2 linked regions of the Lonchura striata genome follow. The protein of the gene in region 2 interacts with the protein of the main gene of each other region in a biochemical or structural test. Links are inferred from orthologs where the notes say so. Each region holds a gene or a part of one and is shown on either strand. Other genes may lie near its edges.

What was found.
Region 1: the proteins of NFE2L1 (region 2) and MAFG form a complex in vitro, tested with the Homo sapiens proteins (2 studies listed by BioGRID and IntAct, with this or other methods). The link is inferred for Lonchura striata from reciprocal best matches to the Homo sapiens genes NFE2L1 and MAFG.

The regions. Positions count from the first base shown.
Region 1 is NC_134621.1:11,959,104-11,970,677, forward strand, and holds the start of MAFG (transcription factor MafG), read right to left. Parts: upstream 4,948-11,574; 5' UTR 4,811-4,947; intron 3,908-4,810; exon of another isoform or gene 3,767-3,907; intron 1,221-3,766; 5' UTR 1,195-1,220; coding exon 1,159-1,194; intron 1,071-1,158; coding exon 618-1,070; 3' UTR 1-617. Other genes in the region: PYCR1 (pyrroline-5-carboxylate reductase 1, mitochondrial), read right to left, coding at 7,357-7,507, 7,606-7,769, 8,154-8,246, 8,713-8,934, 9,536-9,715, 9,808-9,878, 9,987-10,053. UniProt on the Homo sapiens protein: Since they lack a putative transactivation domain, the small Mafs behave as transcriptional repressors when they dimerize among themselves.
Region 2 is NC_134627.1:8,343,889-8,355,230, forward strand, and holds the start of NFE2L1 (endoplasmic reticulum membrane sensor NFE2L1), read right to left. Parts: upstream 4,454-11,342; 5' UTR 4,384-4,453; exon of another isoform or gene 4,339-4,383; intron 3,761-4,338; 5' UTR 3,559-3,760; intron 1,711-3,558; 5' UTR 1,709-1,710; coding exon 1,229-1,708; intron 1-1,228. Other genes in the region: CDK5RAP3 (CDK5 regulatory subunit-associated protein 3), read right to left, coding at 9,089-9,154, 9,389-9,560, 10,286-10,491, 11,010-11,098.

The sequences.
Region 1 (11,574 bases), on a different chromosome or scaffold from region 2:
GCGGGGCCGCAGGACCACATCGGCAGAACACAGCAGCATCGTCCTTCCACCACTGCCAGTTTACACAGCTAATGTCATGGACGTCTGAGGGAACCCATGGTTAGGGTACAGAGGCACACCTAGGAAGGAATAAAACCTATGACACAGAACACCCCAACTGTAACTACAGGTACCAAAGGAGACAAAAGCAGCAGGTTCAGGCGCTGAGATGCACCACCTGGAAGAGTAATGAAATAAAGCCTTTGGAAGTGACCGAAAATTAGGGTTCCCAGCCCCCAGGAAGAAAGCCTTCCTCGGGCCACTCCTCCACCCTTCTCTCAGCCACACTGCACAGATTTTCTTTGGGTAGAAAACCAAAATCTCACAGTCTGTCCCCAGGGCACCTGAGGATTACAGACTGCTGGGTGGAAAGCTCTGTCTGCACAGGACAAGGGATGCATCACCACTGCTCATACCAATCTGGACACAACAAAACAAACTGGAGCGATCAGCAGGCCAATCCTGGGCCAAGTCAAAGGAAGCCAGACCCATGTGGGGAGGGCTTGTGCTTTGGGGATTCCAGGCTGGTTTTGTGCCTAACTGCCCTGCACAGACAAGCTCAGGCAACGCTCGCTTCACTAAGACCGGGCGTCCGTTTTGGATTTCACTATTGTGATGACACTAGTAGTAGCAACCTTGCCAGGGACGAGGGGCCCCATACTGGAAGCGAGAGGCCCCCGTGCAGGGGTCACGGGACTCCGGGCCACGGTTCTGGCGAAGTTCTGGAGAGCCTCATATTTGGAGCGGAGAGCATCAAGTTCCATTTTCATGCTGGCATTCTCTGAGGCTAGCTTCTCCACTTCTTGCTGCAGCTCTGCCTTCTGCTTCTCCAGTTCCTCCTTCTGGGTAACGCGCTTCACTCTGCAGCTGGCCGCGTAACCCCGGTTCTTCAGTGTGCGCCGACGCTGCTTCAGCTGGATGATCTCCTCCTTCGACAGACCCCGCAGATGCTGGTTCAGCTCTCGCACAGACATGGTCACCAGCTCCTCGTCTGTCAAGCTGGTCCCATTCTCACCTGGCTCTCTCTTCACCTGGGAGAGAAGGCAGCACGCACTTGTGAAACCTGAGGTGGATGCCTACACCCATCCCTGCACCCCTTTCCTCCACCCACCACATTACCTTCAAGGCCTTGCTTCCTTTGTTGGGGGTCGTCATAACACGACAGCCTTGTCAGCTGGGTTCTGGAAGGGAAGGAAGGCCAAATTAGCACCTGGGACATAGCAGAGCCCACGGCATTCCTCTGGCAGGGTCCAGCAGCAACGCCTTGTGGTGCTCCACATCCTGGCCCCTGCCATGGAAGACAATCAAAAGCAGCCAGCTGAGCTGGACTCACAATGAGCAGAAACTGCTGCCCTTTCACACCTCTGCTCCCATGGAGACTGTGGCAATGCTGGGTTTTGTTTATGGTGGGGGAAATTAAAGAACTAGGAGGAATCAGAATACATGGAAGCCACATTTTTAAAAATAGCCTTGCAAGCAGCAGGCAGGGTCCAGAGCATGGCTGCTCCAGGCCAGTCACGCTGACTCAGCAGGCTGGCACTCTGCTCCACTCACTCCCAGCCTCATCCTTGTCACTCCCAAGCAGGTCAGGTTACCTTAACGTACCCTTCCAACAGGTGCCCAGCCCTAGAGCTCTCCAGATGCTCCCAAGGATGGTTCAATAAGACATAACCCTGAGCAAGGGGTACAGGGCAAGCCATGGACACACTGGAATTCCAACACAAATTTAGGCTGATGCCTCAGCAGCCTCCACCTCTCCCAGTCATGCAAAACTGACTCCAGTTGTAGGTATTTTCTATGAGAAAGTACCTGTCAATTCCTGGCATGCCAGGGCCAGAAACACCTTCTTCCTCCTTATCCTAAGAGTCAAGGTGTGCTCACAAGAAAACAAAGATTAAACATACCAAAACTCAGAGCAGACTCCTTCCCTGCCATGGAAGACAAGACTTCAGAACTGGTAAGAGCAATTCCCAGGCCTGCTTTAAAGAGACTTATACCTGGGCTCCTGCTTCTTTCCCCACATATCTCCTCTGTGCAGGCTTTTCAGTTCAGACTGCTACTACACTGCCCAAGGAATTGATCCACACAGATAGCACCTGACAGACATGGCTGTATCTCAAACACCCCAAAGTGCACTTCCCTCTCAGCCCAGACTGCGCCCACTCAGCCCTGGCCAGAATTCCTGTGCAGCCTACAGGTACCCCTGACCCTTTCATCTTGCAGGTGTCAAACAACAATTTTGTCTGCCCCTGCCTTACTCCCAGCAGGACTGATGTCAAGTTACAGACCAGAACCAAATGCACACATCAGCAAATATGACTTAGTGCTCTTTCAGCAGCTGTGGCACAGGCTCCCTACAGTGCAACTACACCCTACTGGAGGTGAGCAGGACTAGCAGTCCCCAGAACACCAGCAGAGATATTCTGAAGCCTGCAGCCTGCCAGGAGCCAGGCTATTTATATATACCTAGAGGACAATGCTCCTTCCAACAAGATGTCTGCTACACCCAACCACACTGGCATAGGCACGGTCATTTACTGCCCAAGGAAGGCAGCTGCAGTGAGGCAGGACAGGCAGCATAAAAGCAACTGCTGCACAAAATCAATTCTTCCCTCCTTCCTAGACTGCTCTTTATTCCTTCTGTTCCTATCTGGTAAACAACATGTCTGCTAGGAAAAGGGGAGAGGAAAGGGAATAGCTGGAGACACCAATGTGCATGCCCCTGCAGCACTTGCGTTCCCTGTCCTCTTTCAAGTGGAAGGAGTCAAGGATAGGTATGGTCAGTGCAACCACAGGAATTTGCTCACTCTGTGGCACTAAAGAATTTGCAGCTACCTGGTAAGCACACAGGCTACCTTCATTACAGCAGACCCAAAATGGAACAAACAGGGCACATGCATGCTGCATCAGGCAGGGCACTGGGAAGAGCGCTCCTCAGCAGGCTGGGGAATGGCTGGTGCTGGCAAAGCTAGACACAGCAGAGGCAGCTACTCCTTCCTGCCCCTGCACACTCTAGCACAACACCCTCTCAGGTAGGAGCCTCTCACAACAGTCATCAGAGCTGCAACAGATTGTCCCCAAAAACCTGGTGATCCCACCTCTCCAAGGTGCAGAAACATGTAGGGCAGTCAGTAGAATGGAAAGAACAACCCAAAGAGTTTCCTGGGTCCTGTTTTAACTGGGCTGTTTGGCAACTCACAAGGAGGACATCCAGAGAACTGGCAAAATAGCAGAGACCAAACTTCGCCTTATTCTCCAGACTGCTGATGGATCAGCTTTTGATAGCTTCCTGAAGAAAGATCACACTGAAAAGTGCCAAATACTATGGCTGCAATGAAGAAACTGCAGCCTTGACACATTTCCCCAGTGCTCAAAAGGCCTGAACTCAGCACAAGCACAGCCAATTCTCCCCTCAGCTAGTGGCAGCACATGGGAACTGAAAGCACCACGCATGATCCACCATGGGCCCTTCTCCGCACTCCTGATGCAGAACCCTGCCACAAGCCCCATGTAAACATGGTGATGTCACCTGCTCCAGCGCGGGCAGAGTGAGGGCTGCGCTCCCACACGGGCTCCATGGCTCTGGCAGGCACAGGAGTGTGATTTGTCAGCAGCGAAAGGGGACACAGCACAGAAACACTCTCTTCCAGTGTGAATTTCATACTCTGTTTATTTGCTTGCTGGCAAATTGGCTCACACAGTCTCATCCAACGACTCCCCAAATTACCTGTGTAGCCAAGATAGTGCCTCCTCTGTTTCCTTGGCGAGGTCATCCAACCCTGAGCAATTTTTTCCTCAAGGAATCTGCCCACCCGGCTGGTTTTAACTCTGCTCACACTGCTAAAGCAAAGGGCCAGCTCTGAGAGACTCCCTCCCACCCTTGGCAGTGCCCTCCTCCGATCACACAGTTCACATATCCCGGGCAGCCAGAGACGTGCCCAGCTCGGAACAGCACGACCGAGGCGTGCACAGCACAGACGCACGCAGCCCCTCCGTGCCGGTCGCACACAGCATTCCCGCGGGAGTGGAAACCCACTCCACCGGGGGGACACTGCAGCGCCCAGCACCGGGCAGCCCCTACGGACCAGAACCTCCCACCCGCACGTCTGCAGCTACCGAGGACAAGGTACCGACAGCAGGCAGCGGGGCTGTGCTGCCTGACTCTGCCCTGGGAACCGGGCGAGACGCCCCGATGGCTCCTCACCCTCCCGGCCCTCCCGTTCTCTGGAGAAGAACGACAGACCACGGCGAACACCCGCGGGGCTGGGGGCGGCAGCCCGGCGGGAGAGGGGGACGCGAGGCCCCGCCGGGGGCCTGAGCGCCCGAAGGTGCGGCGGGGTTAAGAGGGGCAGGTTCGGCCTGAGGGCAGCCGGTCTGTAACCCGACCGGGGCATTCGACACCCGCGGGAGGGAGGGGCCGGATGCGCCCGCGATGCCTGCGGGCGGACCCGGGAGGCGGTGGGCAGGGCCGGGGCAGGCCCCGGGCCAGCGCCCCGCGCACCTGTTGCTCGGCCGCCGAGCGGGGCCCGGACACGCCGGGGCGGGGCGGGGCGGGGCGGGGGCCGGGCGGCGCCGGGCCGGCGCGACCCCAAAGCCCCGCTGTGAGTCAGCGGTGGCGGCCCCGTTGGGCAACTGCCGACCCCGCAGCGGCCCCGGCCACCATCCCGGGGCCCGCCGTGCCCGCCCCGCCCCGGCCCGCCCCCGGGGACCGGCCCGCCCCACCCCGGCCGGTGCCAAGGCCGCGCCCGCTCTCGCTGCCGGTGGCGCTCACCTCCTGCCGGGGCCGCCGGGCCAGGCCAGGCCGGGCGGGGCAGGGAGGCCGCGCTGGGAGGGACCGGGACTCACGAGCCGCCGCCGCCGCCGCTCACCGACTCGTCACGTGATATTTGGGTCACGTGGCTCCATTCATGAAGCGCCCGGCGCAACCGCCCCGGGCCTTAAGGGGGCCGCGCTCCCCGGGGGCAGCGGGGGGAACGCGGCCCGACCGGGACTGGCCCGACCGGGACCGGCCCCGGCCCGACCGGGACCGGCCCGGCGCCCGCTCCGCGCCCTGCCGGCGCCTCCCGCCGCCGCAGTCGACTTCCCGTCCCGGGGCGAGCGCTGCCGCTCCGGCAAAGTACTGGGTCGGCCGCGGATCAGCTTCCGCCGTCTCTGACAGCAGCCACCGGCCTCCTGCGCTCTCCCCCGTGGCACGTCGCGCGTTTCATAGCGCGCAGTCCCTCCGCCCGCACCGGCAGGGCCCTCGGCACCGGCGGCTCCGCGCTCCCTTTGAGCTGCGCCCGCGGTCCCTCGGAGCCCGGCTCCGTGTGCGGCGGGCCCCGCCTGCAGCGGTAGGGCCGGGACCACCACTGCTCCGAAACGCCGCTTTCCCAGTCACGCCGGGCTCGCTCCAGGTGTGTTCCCGGCCCTCCTGATACGATTCGGGTCCACGACACTCACACTGGTGCCTACTGTTTGATGCCATGCTACAGGCCAAGAAGGGAGGACAACATGAGCATACCAGAGAAGGGCGAGGGGCCAGTGGAAAGTCCAGCAATGAAAGCGGGCACAAGGGGTTAAGGAGAAACTGTGCCCCGTAGGAGCAGCAGGGGCTCGGCTGGGCCCGGATCCAGCAGCAGCTGCTCTGTGCACAGGGGATGTGACCGCACGCCTTGCAACGCCTCTTGTAGCCCCTGATGGGCTGGGTTTCCATCCGCTCTGGTGCCCACCTCAGTTACAGGTCTATAACGATCTAGGAAGTTCATCTACAGCTGTGTCTCTGGGAGTACCCAGGGGCACCCCCTTAATCTCCTGGCAGAGGGGGTCAAGTTCAGGCATCCATTCATTCTGCATCCCACTTTTTCAGCCAAGTGAGAACTCTTTCCACAACACTTCCTTGCATTTTGCATCAGGCAGTACTTTATCCGTCTGACCTCCAGCCTGGCCTGTCAGCACAGGTATTACAGATCCTGAGCAGGAAACCGAGGAACATATGAGACCCAAGGACTCCTGACCTAGTGGCCACTGCCAGTGGCAAGGGATACCCCCAGTCAAAGCAGTTGGGATTAGCCACAGCTCTCATCAGAGACACAGTTTTTTATGTAAAGAGGGAAGAGGAGTAACCATCTGTCATACCTATAGGGTCATACCTTGCTGGCAGTCAAAAGTCTTAACACTAAAAATACTTTACCGTCACCAGCACCTCAGAGACAGCAGGAAATGTAAAAACTCACTACCCCTCCACCTGCCAAACCACCCAAGGAAGGCCAGCAGTAAAAGAGGGGCAGTGAGAGGTCACAGTTCCCCAAACCAGACTGCGCAGAGAGAATGGGCAGCCGCTGGAGAGAAAAGGAGCACAGTCTGATGTTCATATCTCCCTAAGGGCTGGGAGATCGGACAGAGGCAGTTGGTCTGTTCCAAGAGGTGATTCTGGGCCCAGCCCATGATGCACCATGCAGTATGGACTTTGTGTGGCAGCATCTGCTCCAGCTAGTAACGCCAGCGACAGGACATAAGCTCTGACAGCAGGTGCAAGATGGGGCTAGAGATAATTAAACGTTTGAAACCAAAAGTTCTGAAACATCTTTAAAAATCCTGTTAAAAAAATTTCTGCATGGGACACCACAAACACTGCTTGAGTCCTGGAAGTACCCAAGGCTTCTGGACAAATGATTTCCTTGACAAAGCTCTGATGAGAGCATCACCCCTGCCCAAGAAAACACCATGCCAGGGACAGCTCACCAAGCCCACTACAAGTTAAAGACCCTCTGCTACAGCTGCTGCAAGCCACAAGCCTGGTACAGGGGACACCAACGTGCTGAGTATTTTTCCTTGGACAAAAGAGAAATAACACAGAGAACAATAATGGCTTAGGAATGGTATTCCCTGTACTAGCATTCCCACTGAAATACTCAAACGCTCACTCACTGCCCTCTTGTCCGTCTCCCTCTGTGGTGGGCTGGAGAGGAGAACTGGAGGCACAAAAGGTAAAGATTGTGGTTTGCTACAAGAACAATTTACTGGAAGCAGTAATGAGATAAGAAAACAAATAATAACAGCATCAATATTAAGAAAAGCGTAGAAGAGAGGTGAAGGATTCACACGTGGTTGCTCACCACTACTCGCGTCATGCAACCAGCCAGAAGGGACCCCTTCTTCCCACCCCTCTTCAGCCCCTCTCCCCTGCTTCAAGCCTTCCTCCCCCCCCTTTGCCCACACTTAAGATGCACAGAATAACCAGGGTCCTGGCCACCTATTCCTGGCTACTGCAAAAATTAACCCTGTCCTGGCTGCAACCAGGACATTGACATTCAGCACTGCCAGAATATAGCAGTCTGGTCAGTTCTTCTTGCTCTTGCTGGTGAACAGACTGACTTTGCTAGCAGATGCTACAGACAGAGAAGGAGACTCCAGCTTCACCTTGTCCAGCAATGTTTTCTTTATGGCTGCCGGGGAAATCTTCTCTTGGTCTGCCAAATGCTGCAGCTCCCTGCAATCGGGTAGTGGGAGAGGAAGACAGAAAAAATAAGATGGGGAGAGTGGAGGGGGAAAGTCTTGCAAACTCTTTAGGACTTCCCAGTTGCCCACCTTGTCCGGATACAGGAAGCCTCCACAGCATTGATGAGGAGTGAGCGAAAGCCGCCACTCTCCAGGAAGTGCAGGGCATGGATAGTGGCTCCCCCAGGTGAGCAGACATTGTCCTTCAGCTGACCTGGATGCTGCTCAGATTCTAACAGCATTTTGGCGGCACCCTGTAGCAAGGAAAACACCTGCCAGAGTTCTGAAAGAGGAAGCCACTGTCAGACACTCCTGTTCTCACTGCACAGAGCAGCAACAACACTCACAACAGGCAAACCTAGGCTCCTGCAGGCTGCCAAAACATTTTTCAGAACTGATGAGGCCTGCAAAGGAGCAGAGTTTCCCAGGATCCATCTCCCACAGCACCAGCAGCACCAGCAGAGTGCTGCAGACACTTCCTAGAGCCCCTCACCAGGAACCTGTGTGCATTCAAACCAAATCCATTCTTTAAAGCAGATTCTGTGAGAGGACCAAGATAATTTCAAACTGTGATGTGTAGATTCCTCTGCAAAGAGCAGGCACAGACTCAGATTTGTTATGCAGGAGGTAATACTGACCAGCAAAGCCTGTGCTCCCAGTCGAACTGCCAGCCTGCGGGGAAGGCCCATCTTTACTCCTCCATCTGCAAGAGCATCCAGGGCAGTGAATGCCTGAGACCAGAGAGGAAGAAGGTGACTGAAAGACTGCTCTAGGACTGGTCTTAGGGAAGAGAGAATCCAGGCCTTTAGGACTGTTCTGTGACTCCTATCACTCACAGACTTGACAAAATGCCTCCCTCTTTCATTCATGGCTGCCATGCCAGGCTTCCCTCAAACTATTTCCAGCTCAGGAGTGGAGGGAATGGGAGAAATTCAGCTTCTGCATCATGCAAACTACAGGCCCAAGTTTTGCAACATGGACATGTGGACACTGCACACTGGCTATGGACTTCAGACTCATCTGACTCTTAAAAAAATTTTCCTGCTGCCCCAAACTGAACACCTGGAATACATGTCCCATTGCAAATATGGGTGATGGAGAAAAAAAAAAAATACAAGCTGAAGTTGCACAGATTTTTTAGCAGGCAAGCCAACTGCTCTCCCTAAGACTGGCACTAGCTGATGAAATAGCACATACATACGCAGGGCCACTGCCACTGAGCCCCGTTACAGCATCAATGAGGTCCTCTTCCACCTCGGTGCAGAAGCCCACACTGGCCATCAGTTGTTCCAAAAGCTTCCCATCTTCCACATCCGCATGAGTTCCAGTGGCATAGACTGTAGCACCTTCCCGGACTATCACAGGGGTGTTGGTCATGCACCTGATCACTTTTGGTGTGGGGCAGAAGGTAGAGAGTTTCTTAGGGCAGAAAATCATTGAAGATAGAAAGTAAGAAAAAAAAAAAGAAAGAAGGGAGAAAAATGAGCTTTAGTGCATACTTTTCATCAATGGGCTGTCCAGGAAAGGACCCCCCCCACCAGGGGCAAGAACAACACAAGCAGAAGGAAAAGAGAGACCTGTGTATCTCAAATGTCCTGCTTTGAGTCACAGCAGCCCATCCGTGAACGTGAAGCCTTAGTCAGTACCAGCAAAGCAGGAGCTGGGCAAAATCAGGTTGGAAACAGTATCCCAAAGGCCTCAAACCCACATCAACCCACAGATCTCCAAAACAGCTCCTGCAGACACTTAAGACAAATTCTGCAGAAATTCAGGGGAGATGACCTACTGCTGGTAATAGAAACATAATCGGACAGCACCTCACGTGAGAGAAAAGCTGGATAAAACCTCTAATAGCATTTGCTGATGAAGACAGGCAAAGGTGACCAAAACCAAGTTTTTTGCTGCTGCGTGACTTTAGTCCTGAGTAGCACAAGTACGACAAGTCCGTCCATCGGCTCCGCGGGGTCAGAGGAGTGGAACCAGCTCCCGGCTCGCCCTGCACGGCCCGGTCCCCTCTCACCTTCTCGATGGAGCTGATGGTGACGCCGGCAGCGCAGGAGACCACGATGTGCCGGGCCTCGATGTCGGGGCCCACCTCCTCCAGGATGAAGGGGATAATGGGCGGCTTTACGGCTAGGAAGAGGACATCGCTGCTCTTCACCGTGTCCTTGTTGCTCACCGTGAAGTTCACTCCCATTTTCTGCACAGTGGGGAGAAACGGGACCGCTCAAGCCCGGGATGGCCCGAGAGGGGAGCGCCGCCACCCGGTCCCCGCTACCCGGCCGCACTCACCCGCAGCCCGCTCACGGTGGGCAGGTCAGTGTCCGGGGAGCTCGCCGTGATCTTGTGCGCAGCCAGGACCCCTACGAACGACCCTGAGCGTCAGCCCCGGGACGGGCACCACCCGCCCCGTGTCCTCATGCCCCCATGAAGCCCCCGGCCAGGGCGAAGGCGAACTGCCCCGCGCGCACCTGCCGCGGTGAAGCCGCGGGCCAGGGCGAAGGCGAGCTGCCCCGCGCCGATGAAGCCCACGCTCATGCCGGTGCCCGCCGGTCCCGGCCCGCCAGACCCGGCCGCGCCGCTGCCCACGTGGCCGCGCGCGCACGGAGGCGAGACCGCGCGGCGGGACGTGGGCGCGCAGCCAATCGGCGCGCAGCGGGGCGGGGCAGCGCCGGCGCTCCACCACTCAGCGGGCGGGGGCGGGGCCAGCGGCGCAGCGCTCGCCAGCGATTGGGGCAAGCGGCGGCCGGTGTTGCATCATTCGCCGCCCGCCGCGCCGCCCCGTGCCGGCAGGTGGCGCCCTGCTCCCGCCGGGGCTCACCGCAGCGGCCCTGGGCTCTGGAGACGTCAGGCCGCGTCAAGTGTTCCTGTAAAACCCAGGCGGCACGCAGTGATTTTTTTTCCTAAGTATCATCTTTCCTCACTGGGGTTTCTTTTTATTTGTTCGTTTTTTTTCCTTGTTTCTTTATTGGAAGAAATAAATCTCAATGTTTTTTTCTGTTGATAAATGTTCCTAAACAGTGATCTTTTGTGGATACTGAACACCAGGACTCCAAAAAAGAAGGCAAAAACCTAAACCAAACCATTAACAATTCAGATTTCATGCTGGAATCCTCTGGGTGCTGTCTAGATTGGCTACAGCCACAAGTCCATAATTAATGAACACACATAAATCCTAACATTAGTTTACCAAAAGAGGCTGGGAATGGTTGGTGACTGGGACAACCTGGTTCTTGGGGAGCTACTTGATCATAATCTATTAATTAAAGGGGGAGATACACTCTGGAAATGAAGGGGGTTCGGTGAACTAAATCATGACAGAGCGGGTTGGTAAATTCTGATGAGTAGATATCAGATGTTCTCTGTTCTGGATTGGGCAATCTCATACTTTCCAATGGTTGGGGAATGTTTTAACCACTGAAGCATGAGGTTTTGATTTTTTTATTATTATTATTATTTTTTTCTCCTAAAAGAGAGGATTGTTGTCCACACAATCTTTTTTTGCCATTTTGACCATGTCCACATTTTTTGCTCAGCCTTTGGCTGGCAGATGAGAAAGCTAAATATGAACACACTGTTCTTGGCAATGACTTGTGTTTCCACTCCTCCAGTCAGTGGGATCATGATTTCCATATTAAATTCGCTTTCCCCTTATTGTGAAGATACTCAATTTTGCCCTCATTGTTTCCCAAGTACCAGTTTCTCTTTGCCCCTTTGACCCTAGCTTGTTGTAAGTTGCATCAACTCATAGCATTGTCAGATTTTACCATGTTTCTGCTCTTGCTCCAGCTTGGTGCAAAATCTTCCCAGCATGAAGCCTGGCTCAGCCACATGTTATCAGCCAAGGAGTTTTCCAGCAGCTGCTACTGCCTGAGCCACTGGTAGTATCAACCCTGGGGACAAGCACCCCCAGCCCCCCCAGCTTCCCAGAGCCACCCCAGAGCCTGCAGGATGGGGCTTTCCTCAAACAATGTTCCTGGGCTTGCTGGGTGGAATTTTATAACAAAAAGGCACCTGTTGGGTTTTTAGTGATCTGAAATTAAAAAAAAAAAAAAATAA
Region 2 (11,342 bases):
CTTCCACTGCTCCCCTGGAGCCAGAACAGGGCAGAGAAAATGGGAAAAGTGCCCCGGAACTACCCCAGAATTACTGACACCTGCCCCGATCCAGCACTGGAGCCAGAACAGGGCAGAGAAAAAGGGAAAAGCACCCCAGAATTCCTGATACCAGCCCCGATCCAGCACTGACACCCCCATTCCATACACCTGGAAGGACCCAAGGCCCTGGATCAGCACCGACAACGTTTCTCTATGTCCCTGAAAGGACCCAAATACATGTATCAGCACTGACACCCTCTCTCCATACCCCTGGAAGGACCTGGGGCCATGGATCAGCACTGACACCCCCATTCCATACCCCTAGAAGGACCCAAGGCCCTGGATCAGCACCGACACCCCCATTCCATACCCCTGGAAGGACCCAAGGCCATGGATCAGCACCGACACCCTTTCTCCATGACCCTGGAAGGACGCAAGGCCATGGATCAGCATCAACATCCTTTCTCCATGACCCTGGAAGGACCTGGGGCCATAGATCAGCACCAACACCCCCATTCCATACACCTGGAAGGACCTAGTGCCATAGATGAGCACTGACACCCCCATTTCATACACCTGGAAGGACCCAAGGCCATGGATGAGCACTGACACCCCCATTCCATACACCTGGAAGGACCCAAGGCCATGGATGAGCACTGACACCCCCATTCCATACACCTGGAAGGACCTAGTGCCATAGCTGAGCACTGACACCCCCATTCCATACACCTGGAAGGACCTGGTGCCATGGATGAGCACTGACACCCCCATTCCATACACCTGGAAGGACCCAAGGCCATGGATGAGCACTGACACCCCCATTCCATACACCTGGAAGGACCCAAGGCCATGGATGAGCACTGACACCCCCATTCCATACACCTGGAAGGACCCAAGGCCATAGATGAGCACTGACACCCCCATTCCATACACCTGGAAGGACCCAAGGCCATGGATGAGCACTGACACCCCCATTCCATACACCTGGAAGGACCTAGTGCCATAGCTGAGCACTGACACCCCCATTCCATACACCTGGAAGGACCCAAGGCCATGGATGAGCACCGACACCTCTCTCCACGACCACAATCCAGCATTGCACCATCAAACACAACCCCCAAACCCACCCCAGAACCTCCCTGCAAACCCCCCAAACCCCCGTTCCCCACCTCCCTCCCCCCAAACCCCCAGACCCCGTGCTCCCTACCTCCTTGGTGAGATCCCCGTTGCCGGGCGCCGCCACGGCTCCCAGATCCTCCATCTCCTCCCCGAAGCCCTGCTCGGGCGCGCCGTCGCGGGCGCCGCCGTCGCCGCCGGAGCCGTCCTGCAGCGGGCCGGCCGCGCCGGGCTGCCCGGCGGGCACGGCGGCCTCGGCGTCGCGGTGCACCAGCCAGGCGCTGACGCGGGCGCGGGGCACGCGCAGCCGGTCCAGGCTGAGCAGGCGGCGGGCGCCCGGCAGCCCCTCCAGCCCCGCGCTCTTGGGGGGCAGCCCATGGCCGGCCCAGGGCCCGCGCAGGCGGTGGAACTGCGTCTGCGTGTAGGCCGAGCTCTGGCCCAGGATGATCTCCCGCAGCGGCGGCAGCTGCGAGCCCAGGTACGTGTCCACGTCCACGCGCACGCCCACCAGGCTCAGCAGGATGGTGAACTGGATCAGGCCCTCCGTGAAGTACTTCTTCAGGGACAGCATCTCTGGGGAGGAAACAAAATACAGTGAATAAAAAAACCCACAAATATTGAGAATGGATAGTGAGACTGAGCAGGATGGTGAACTGGAAGTACTTCTTCAGGCTCAGCATCGCTGGGGAGGGAAACAAAATACAGTGAATAAAAAACAAAGTGTGGGGATGGACAGTGAGATTGAGCAGGATGGTGAACTGGAAGTACTTCTTCAGGGACAGCATCTCTGGGGAGGAAACAAAATACAGTGAATAAAAAAACCCACAAATATTGAGAATGGATAGTGAGACTGAGCAGGATGGTGAACTGGATCAGGCCCTCCGTGAAGTACTTCTTCAGGGACAGCATCTCTGGGGAGGAAACAAAATACAGTGAATAAAAAAACCCACAAATATTGAGAATGGATAGTGACACTGAGCAGGATGGTGAACTGGAAGTACTTCTTCAGGGACAGCATCGCTGGGGAGGAAACAAAATAAAGCAAATAAAAAACAAAGGTTGGGGATGGGAAACAAGACTGAGCAGGATGGTGAACTGGAAGTACTTCTTCAGGGACAGCATCTCTGGGGAGGGAAACAAAATACAGTGAATAAAAAACAAAGTCTGGGGATGGACAGTGAGATTGAGCAATATGGTGAACTGGATCAGGCCCTCTGTGAAGTGTTTCTTCAGGGACAGCATCTCTGGGGAGGAAACAAAATAAAGTGAATAAAAAAACCCACAAATATTGAGAATGGATAGCGAGACTGAGCAGGATGGTGAACTGGAAGTACTTCTTCAGGGACAGCATCTCTGCAGGAGGAAACAAAATAAAGTGAATAAAAAACAAAAGTTGGGGATGGGAAACAAGACTGAGCAGGATGGTAAGCTGGATCAGGCCTTCCATGAAGTACTTCTTCAGGGACAGCATCTCTACGGGAGGAAACAAAATAAAGTGAATAAAAACCAAAGTCTGGGGATGGACAATGAGACTGAGCAGGATGGTGAGCTGGATCAGGCCTTCCCTGACATGTTTCTCCAGGGACAGCATCTCTGTCTGGAGAAGGAAAAACAAAATAAAGGGAATAAAAAACACAACAAAGGTTGGGGTTGGGGATGGAGAGTGAGGGAGACAGGATGGCGAACTGGATCAGGCCTTCCCTGAAGTTTCTTCAGAGACAGAAAAACAAAATAAAATTAATAACAAAAAATCACAAAGGTTGGGGATGGACAAACAGGCTGAGCAACATGGTGAGCTGGATCAGGAGAGCATCTCTGGGGGAGAGGAAACAAAATAAAAGTGAATAAAAACCGAAGTCTGGGGATGGCGAGTGAGGCTGAGCAGGATGGTGAGCTGGAAGTATTTCTTCAGGGAGAGCAACTCTGGGGCAGAGGAAACAAAATAAAATTAATTAAAAACACAACAAAGTCTGAGGTTGGGGATGGAGAGTGAGGGAAACAGGATGGTGAGCTGGATCAGGCCTTCTGTAAAATGTTTCTTTGGAAAGAGAATCTCTGGTGGAGGGGAAAACAAAATAAAGTCAATAAAAAATAAAGAGTGAGGTTGGGGATGGAGAACGAGGGAAGGCGCAGCCTCCACAACAGGTTGGGTGGGTTTGGCTTTGCTCTGCCCCACTTTCAAACAGTTTCTGCCCTTCAGGGCACAGCTAAAAACCGGGAGAAAAGTTTAAAGAACGCTCAAAAGGTTTTTAGTTCAACGAAGCTCGGTTTTCCTGTGCAAAAATCAGGAAATTGGAGCGCGGAGAAGCGGAGATAATCAGAGTTTAAAGGAGGGAGCTGCCCCGGCAGCTCCACCCTCGCCTTGACTTTTGTTTTTATGCCGGGCGGAGAGTTGGAATCCCCGATTCCCTGTTGACTTACTGTCCCAAAGCTCCTCATGCAGCGACTTTCGGTGTCCCCCGCAGCTCCGGGCTCTGCTCTTCCTCCTCAGCTCCTGCTCCTCCTCCTCCTCCTCCGCTCTCCCGGCGCTTTCCGCCCTTTTCTGCTCCTTTTATGAGTCAAAGGTCCCGAGCCTGGGAAGGTCCAAAGCCTGCGACGCTCCCGGCTGCGATTTCATCAGCAGCTGCAACGCAACCACAGAGCAAGCTCGGTACCAGCGGGGCGCCACCCCGCCGGCCTTCCCCCGCCGAATCCCGGGAATCGCGCCGCGATTCCCGGTGCCCTGCCCGCCCCGGGCTCCCTCCGCTGCCCGAGCTATTCTTAGGCAGCTGCGTCAACTTCCCGCCGGCCCAAGGAATCCGCCCGCCTTTCCGCCTTGCCGTGCTTCCAGCCGCGCCGGGGCTTTTCCACGGAAAACCGGGAACGCTCCCGGTCCCACCGGGGCGGCTCCCGCCGTGCGCGCCCGCAGCCGGGGGATGCCGAGCTGGCGGCTCCCGGATTTTTGAGGGGGTGTGTGTGTATAGGGGGGGTGTCCCCGGTTTTTTTGGGGGTCCCCAGTGGGGGGGAGCCACGTGCGCGCCCCGTTCCCGTTCCCGGTACCGGGGCCCTTTAAGGCCCCACGTGACCTCGCACCCCCCCCCCCCTTTTCCAGGTGCGGCCACGTGACCCCGCCCCACCCGCGCGCGCGCTCCCGCGGCCTCGCCGTCCCCCCTCAGAGCGCGGCCGGCCCCGCCCCAAGCGCGCCGTCGCCGCCGCCGCCACCTCCGCACGCCGCCTCCCCGCACCCTCCGCCACAGATTCCGGTACCCGCCGGGCTCCGCCGCCGCCGCTCCGGCCCCGCCGCCGCCGCCGCTCCCGCTCCCCGCCCCGGCCCAACCGCCCCCCCCGCCCCGCCGCCAATCACCGCCCGCCGAGGGGAGGTGAGAGCGCGGCGCGGACCAATGGGAAGCGAGCGGCTGGGAGTGCCTCCCGCCTCCCCGGCGGCGCTTTGATTGGCAGGCGAACTGACCAATGGGCGCGCGAGAAGGCGCGGGCGGCCGTCGCGCTCGGCGCGGCCGAGCCAATGGAGAATCAGAAGCGGGGAAGCGCGGCTCGCCCCGCTGCGTGCTTGAGTGACAGCGCGCCCACCCAATGGCGCGTATAACCCCTACTGAGTGACAGCGATATCAACCAATGAGACGACGCAGAGAATTTGAATGGCAGCGGCGCGCACCAATCGCTTTGCCCCCGCAGCGGTTGCCGTGGCAACGGGCGGGGTGAGGCCGCCATGGCGGCCCCGGCGCGCTGAGGGCCGCAGCCGCTGCCCGGCCGCCGCCTCAGCCCGGCTGCCCGCGGGAGCTCCCGGCGCCCTTACAGCCCTGGGTGGTGCTGCTGGGAGCCTCCCCCGTCCCCGCGGGGAGATTCGGGGCTGATCCCCCGGGGCACACAGGGAGCGGTGTTTTGTTCTTTATGGCGCGGGCATTCTCGCATGGATCCACACAGAATTACTGCCACTTCTTCCCTTCCCACATGGATCCACATGGGATTCCTGCCCTCCCTTTCTCCATGCAGGATTTCTGCCCCTTCCCTCACGGATCCCTGTGGGATTCCTGCCCCGTCTCCCATTCCCACACAGATTCCTGTGGGATTCCTCCCCTTCCCAGATGGATCTGGGTGAGATTCCTGCCCCTTCCCACACCAACCCCTGTGGGATTCCTGCCCACATGGATCCACATGGGATTCCTGCCCTTCCCACATGGATCTGTCTGAGATTCCTGCCCCTTTTCCCATTCCCACACAGATTCCTGTGGGATTCTTGCCCTTCCCACATGGATCCACATGGAATTCCTGCCCCTTCACCCATTCCCACATGGATCCACATGGAATTCCTGCCCCTTCACCCATTCCCACATGGATCTACATGGGATCCCTGTGGGATTCCTGCCCCTTCTCCCCTTCCCACACAGATCCCTGTGGGATTCTTGCCCTTCCCACACAGATCCACATGGAATTCCTGCCCCTTTTCCCCTTCCCACATGGATCCACACAGGATTGCTGCCCATCCCTGCTCCATGTGGGATTCCTGCCCCTCCTCCCATTCCCCCATGGATCCACAGAGGATTCCTGCCCCTTCCCACGCAGATCCCTGTGGGATTCCTGCCCATCCCTGCTCCCTGTGCAATCCCTGCCCTTTCTCCCATTCCCACATGGATCTACAGAGGATTCCTGCCCATCCCTGCTCCCTGTGCAATCCCTGCCCACACCGTGCCAGCAGCTGGCAGGCCCTGGCAGCACCGCCCCGATCCTGCCATTCCTTCCCTGCCCCACAAACCTGCCGGGACACACGGGATGCCACGGGCGCTGCTTCATCCCGGGGAAACAAAACAAACACGGAGAAAGCGGCGTGGGATCCACACCTCGCGGCAGGGCGAGCCTGGCCAGCTTCTCCCAGGCGTTTCCCAGCCTCTTTGTGCCCCCCAAAAACCTACAGAGATCCAGGGAGACAAGGGAAGGTGCTGGAGAGGTTGGAAGTGCCCAGATCCCGGAGATTCTCTGGGTGGATTTTGGGGCTATTTTCCACCCTGAACCCCCCCAGGGTTGGATTTTGGGGGTGTTTTCCACCCTAAACCCACCCTGGGGTGGATTTCGGAGGTGTTACCCACCCTAAACCCATCCTGGGTTGGATTTTGGGGCTCTTGCCCCAGCAGGTTGAAGATTTGGGGGTGTTTTCCACCCTGAACCCACCCAAGGTTGGATTTTTGGGGTATTTTCCATCCTAAGCCCCCCTGGGATGGAGATTTGGAGCTGCTTTCCCACTGAACTCCCCTGGTTTGGATTCTGGGGGTGTTTTCCACCCTGAAACCCCCCCAGGGTTGGATTTTGGGGCTGTTTTCCACCCTAAATTCCCCCCAGGGTTGGAACAGGGGGTGTCTGGGAGCCCCCCCAAACCCTCCCGTGCCTGCCCGGGGCAGTTTCCAGCCGGGAACCCGAGCCGGGCTGTCCCTCCCGGGTTATTTTTAGTGTCCCCAGCGCTGTTTGGGGACAGCTGGCCCTGTCCCCGTGCCCACCTCGTGCCACTGAGGCGGGCACCGAGCCCCTTCCCTGCTTTTTCCTCCCAGGAAAACGCTCCAGCCCCAAAATTAAAGCAAAAATTTTCCCAAACAAGGCAAAATTTGGGTGAGCCACCAGAAAATTCCAGGCTGGGAGAGCTCAGGGAATGGGAGCAGGCACTGGGATTGTTTGGGATGGATCCAGGAGCTCCTTCCCAGGTCTGGGATCCTCCCCCAGCGTTGATGATATCCAGGGATTAATTAGGCACTAATGAAGTTTGTCCTTCCCAGCTGGATCCAGCTACAATTAAAGATTTTCCTGCCCAATCCGGTGTCGGGGCGGACCCGACTCTTTCCCTCCTTACCGGGGCGGGTTTTTGGGATATTTATGGGGCTTTGTTGTTAAATCCCAATCCTTAGGGAGTGATCACTTCCGTGGGGCCAGCACAGGGGTCCCGTGGGGCTGGGACCCCCCACTCCCCATGGATGTTCCCTACAGACCCCCCAAACCTTGGGACAACCATCCTGAGGACACCCCAACGTTGGGATCACCCCTTTTTGGGACCCCCAACCCCACAGACCCCTCCCCACATTGGGATCACCCCTTTTTGGGACCCCCGCCCACCCGGGTTTTGGCCCATTCTCGGGGGGTAACCCCAACTCTACAGAGGCCCCCGAGCTGGCACGGCCTGTCCAGGGCCCCCCACGCTCCCATGGCACCCCAAAATGCGCTCTTGGCACCCCAAAATCCCCCCGGGACCCCAAAATCCGCCCCCGCTTCGCCCCCCAACGCCGCGGCCCCAACGCCGCGGCTCTTTCCCAGAGCCCCCTGCGACACCGGATTTATTTGCATAGCCCCGCCCATTACACACGTACGAACAACCTAATAAGGTATTTGACCACGCCCGTTCCTACATTGCCCCCGCCCCTATGCCACGCCCCTTCGCGCATTCGCGGTCCTGCAGCGCCACCTGCCGGCGGCTCCGCGGCAGCGCATGGGACCCCGCCCTGACCCCCCAAACCGGGACCACCGTCTCCGGGGCCCCGCCCTGAGCCCCCAAACCGGGACCCCCCAATCCGGGACCCCGCCCTGACCCCCCAAACCGGGACCACCGTCTCCGGGGCCCCGCCCTGAGCCCCCAAACCGGGACCCCCGGTGCCCGAGACCCCCCAAAACTCCACCCCTACGAACCCCCTTCCCTTTTGGGGACTCCCCATTGTAGCGCCCCCCCTCAATCACAGGGGGTTCCCCTTCCCCTGGGGATCCCCAAAGCGGAGCCGGCCGGGGCTGGGGAGGGGGGGGGGGTTCAGGGCACGGAGCGCCCCCCAAAACCCAGCGCAGCCCCCTCCTGGGTATCCCCATGCCCGGGGGGCTCCGTGTCGCCTCGGTGTCCCCCCGGGCCCGAGAACAAAGAGGAGGAGGAGGAGGAGGAGGAGAATGGGGGGGGGGGGGGGGGGGCGCGAAGGCCCCGCGGGTGACACGGGGACAAAGACGGGGAAAAAGGGGCTGGCGGGGGAGACAGCGACCCCACAGCGCCCCAAAACACCCCAGAACGCCCCAAAACACCCCAAACCACCTCACAGAGCCCCAAAACACCCCACAGCGCCCCAAAACACCCATTGGGACCCCCCAGCCCCATTGAGAACTCCCAGCCCCGCCTGGGGGCGGTGCCACAGCAGAGCCGGACCAATCAGCGGCCGGGACGCCTGAAATGTGGCGGGGCTATCGCGACACCAGCCAATCATCTGCCGGAGGGGGCGTGGTCAGAGGGTGACGTCACTGGTCGCAGCAGCCCCGCCCAGTCCGGCCCAGTTTGTCCCAGTTTATCCCAGTCCGGCCCAGTTTGGGGGGGTTTAGGGGGGGTCTGGGGTGATCGCGGGGTCCCGGTGCCACCGCGCCCGGGGACCGCCAGCGCCGGCGACAGCGCCCACGCACCGCCCGCTCTGCTGGGAAATGGGACCCCCCCGGGGCACCCAAAGGAGCGGGGCCGGTGGCCCCGAGCCCCGCTCCGGGTCTGGCCCCCACCCCCCTGTCCCATCCCTGTCCCTGTCCCTTTCCCTGCCCCCATCCCCGTCCCCTGTCCCTGTCCCTGTTCCATCCCTGTCCCCGCCACAAGCCCACTCGATGTGCCACCAAATTTGGGTTTATTCGGCGACACCCCCAAACCCCGCGGCACCCCCGGGTGGGCAGGGGGGGCTGGGATGGGCGCAGCACCCTGGGGACCCCCCGTGGCATCAGGGGCCACAGGCACAGGCTGGTGTCCCCTGGGGGTCCCAGGCTGATGTCCCCAGTGTCACACTCTGATGTCCCCAGGTGTTAAATTGATGTCCCAAAGTGTCACAGTGTCCCACTCCGATGTCCCCAGGTGTCACAGGCCGATGTCCCCCGGTGTCACAGGTGCCACTCCGATGTCCCCAGGTGTCACAGGCCGATGTCCCCCGGTGTCACAGGTGCCACTCCGATGTCCCCAGGTGTCCCAGTGTCACACGTTGACGCCCATCAGGTTCACCGGGCGCCCCCCGTAGCGCTTGGAGATGTCGGCCTCAATCTGCAACGGCACCGGGGGGTGCTCAGGGGGGCTCGGGGGGTTCTTGGGGGGCTCGGGAGGCTCAGGGGGGCTTGGGGGAGCTCAGGGGGGCTCTTGGGGCTCTGAAAGGGCTCAGGGGGATCAGGGGGTTTCGGGGGCTCTTGGGGGGCTCAGGGGTTGCTTGGGGGGGCTTGGAGAGTTTAGGGGGGCTCAGGGGTTTTCGGGAGTCTCGGGGGGCTCTCGGGGGTCCCTCACCAGGCGCTGCAGCTCCCGGCTGCTCTCCTGCAGCCGCTGCAGCCGCGGCTCCAGGGCCGCCTGCTCGGCCAGGGCCTGGCGGCGCCGCTGGCCCAGCGCCGCTCGCTTGGCCTGCAGCAGCTCGGCCTGCAGCAGCTGCCGCCGCAGCAGCGCAGCCACCCGCTCCACGTACCTGCGACACGGGACAGCAGGAGGGTCACTGTGGGGAGGGGACACGGGACACGGGACAGGGGACACGGGACAGGGGACAGCGGTCACCGCGGGGAGGGGACACGGGACACGGGACACGGGACAGGGGACAGCGGTCACTGTGGGGAGGGGACAGGGGACATCATGGGGAGGAGACATGGGACACGGGACAGCACGGGGAGAGGGACACGGGACACGGGACAGGTGACAGGGGACAGTGGTCACTGTGGGGAGGGGACCCGGGACAGCACGGGGAGAGGGACACAGGACATGGGACAGGGGACAGCACCGGGGTCACCGTGGGGCGGGGGACACGGGACACGGGAAAGGGCTCACTGCGGGGCAGGGGACATGGGACAGAAGTCGCTGCAGGGCAGGGAACAGCAGGGACACGGGACAGCATGGGTCACCACGGGGAGGGGGACAATGGGGATACAGGACAGCGGGGACAGCACGCGGCTGTTTGGGGCAGTTTAAGGCCGTTTTGGGGCAGTTTAGGGCCGTTTAGGGCCATTTCGGGGCTGTTTAAGGATGTTTTGGGGCTGTTTTGGGGTAGTTTGGGGCCGTTTGGGGCAGTTTAGGACTGTTTCGGGGCAGTTTTGGGGCTGTTTCAGGGCAGTTTGGGGCAGTTTGGGGCTGTTTAGGGCCGTTTTGGGGCTGTTTAGAACCGTTTTGGGGCAGTGTGTCCCTTCGGGGCAGTCCCAGCACCTGGGCGAGGCGAGGATCATGCAGAGGTGCTGCACGCTGCGGGAGCAGAGCTGGCGCAGCAGGTCCTGCGCGGTGGCCAGCTGCGCCCGCAGCCGCCCGCGGCTCTGGCCCTGCAGCGCGGCCGGGGCCAGCTGCAGCTGGCTCATGGCCACCACGTCGGCCTCGGCCTCCAGCTCCTGCAGCCGCTGCGCCAGGAACAGCTCCAGCTGCGGACAGGGGACAGGGGACAGGGGACAGGGCACGGGCGGCGTCAGGGCACGGCGGGGCCACCACCAACACCACTGCCAGGCCACCAGCAGGGCCACCAACAAGGCCACTGCCAGGGCCACCAGCAGGGCCACCACTGGGGCCACAGCAGGGCCACCACCAATACCACTGCCAGGGCCACTGCCAGGCCACCAGCAGGGCCACCAACAAGGCCACTGTCAGGGCCACCACTGGGGCCACAGCAGGGCCACCACCATGGCCACCAGCAGGGCCATCACCAATACCACTGCCAGGGCCACCTCCAGAGCCACCACCAAGGCCACTGCCAGGGCCACCAACAGGGCACAGCAGGGCCACCATCAGGGCCACCATCAGGGCCACCATCAGGGCAATGGTCAGGGTCACCATCAGGGCCACCATCAGGGCCACCTTTAGGGTCACTGTCAGGGCCACCTCCAGGGCCACCCCAGGGCCACCCCAGGGCCACCCCAGGGACACCGCTGTCCCCGGCGCCCACCTCCATCAGCTCGTCGATGAACTGGTTCCGTGTCTCGGGGTTCTCCAGCAGGGTCAGCGCGTCCGAGCCGCGGGCAACGTCCTCGGGGGCTGCGGCGGGGTGGGACCCCAAACTCAGCTCAGCTTCACCCCAGGGAGCCCCAAACCCCTGCCCAGCACCCAAAATCCCTACCCAGCACCCAAATCCCTGCCCAGCACCCAAATCCCTGCCCAGCACCCAAATCCCTGCCCAGCACCCCAAATCCCTGCCCAGCACCCAAAAATCCCTGCCCAGCACCCAAATCCCTACCCAGCACCCCAAATCCCTGCCCAGAACCCAAATCCCTGCCCAGCA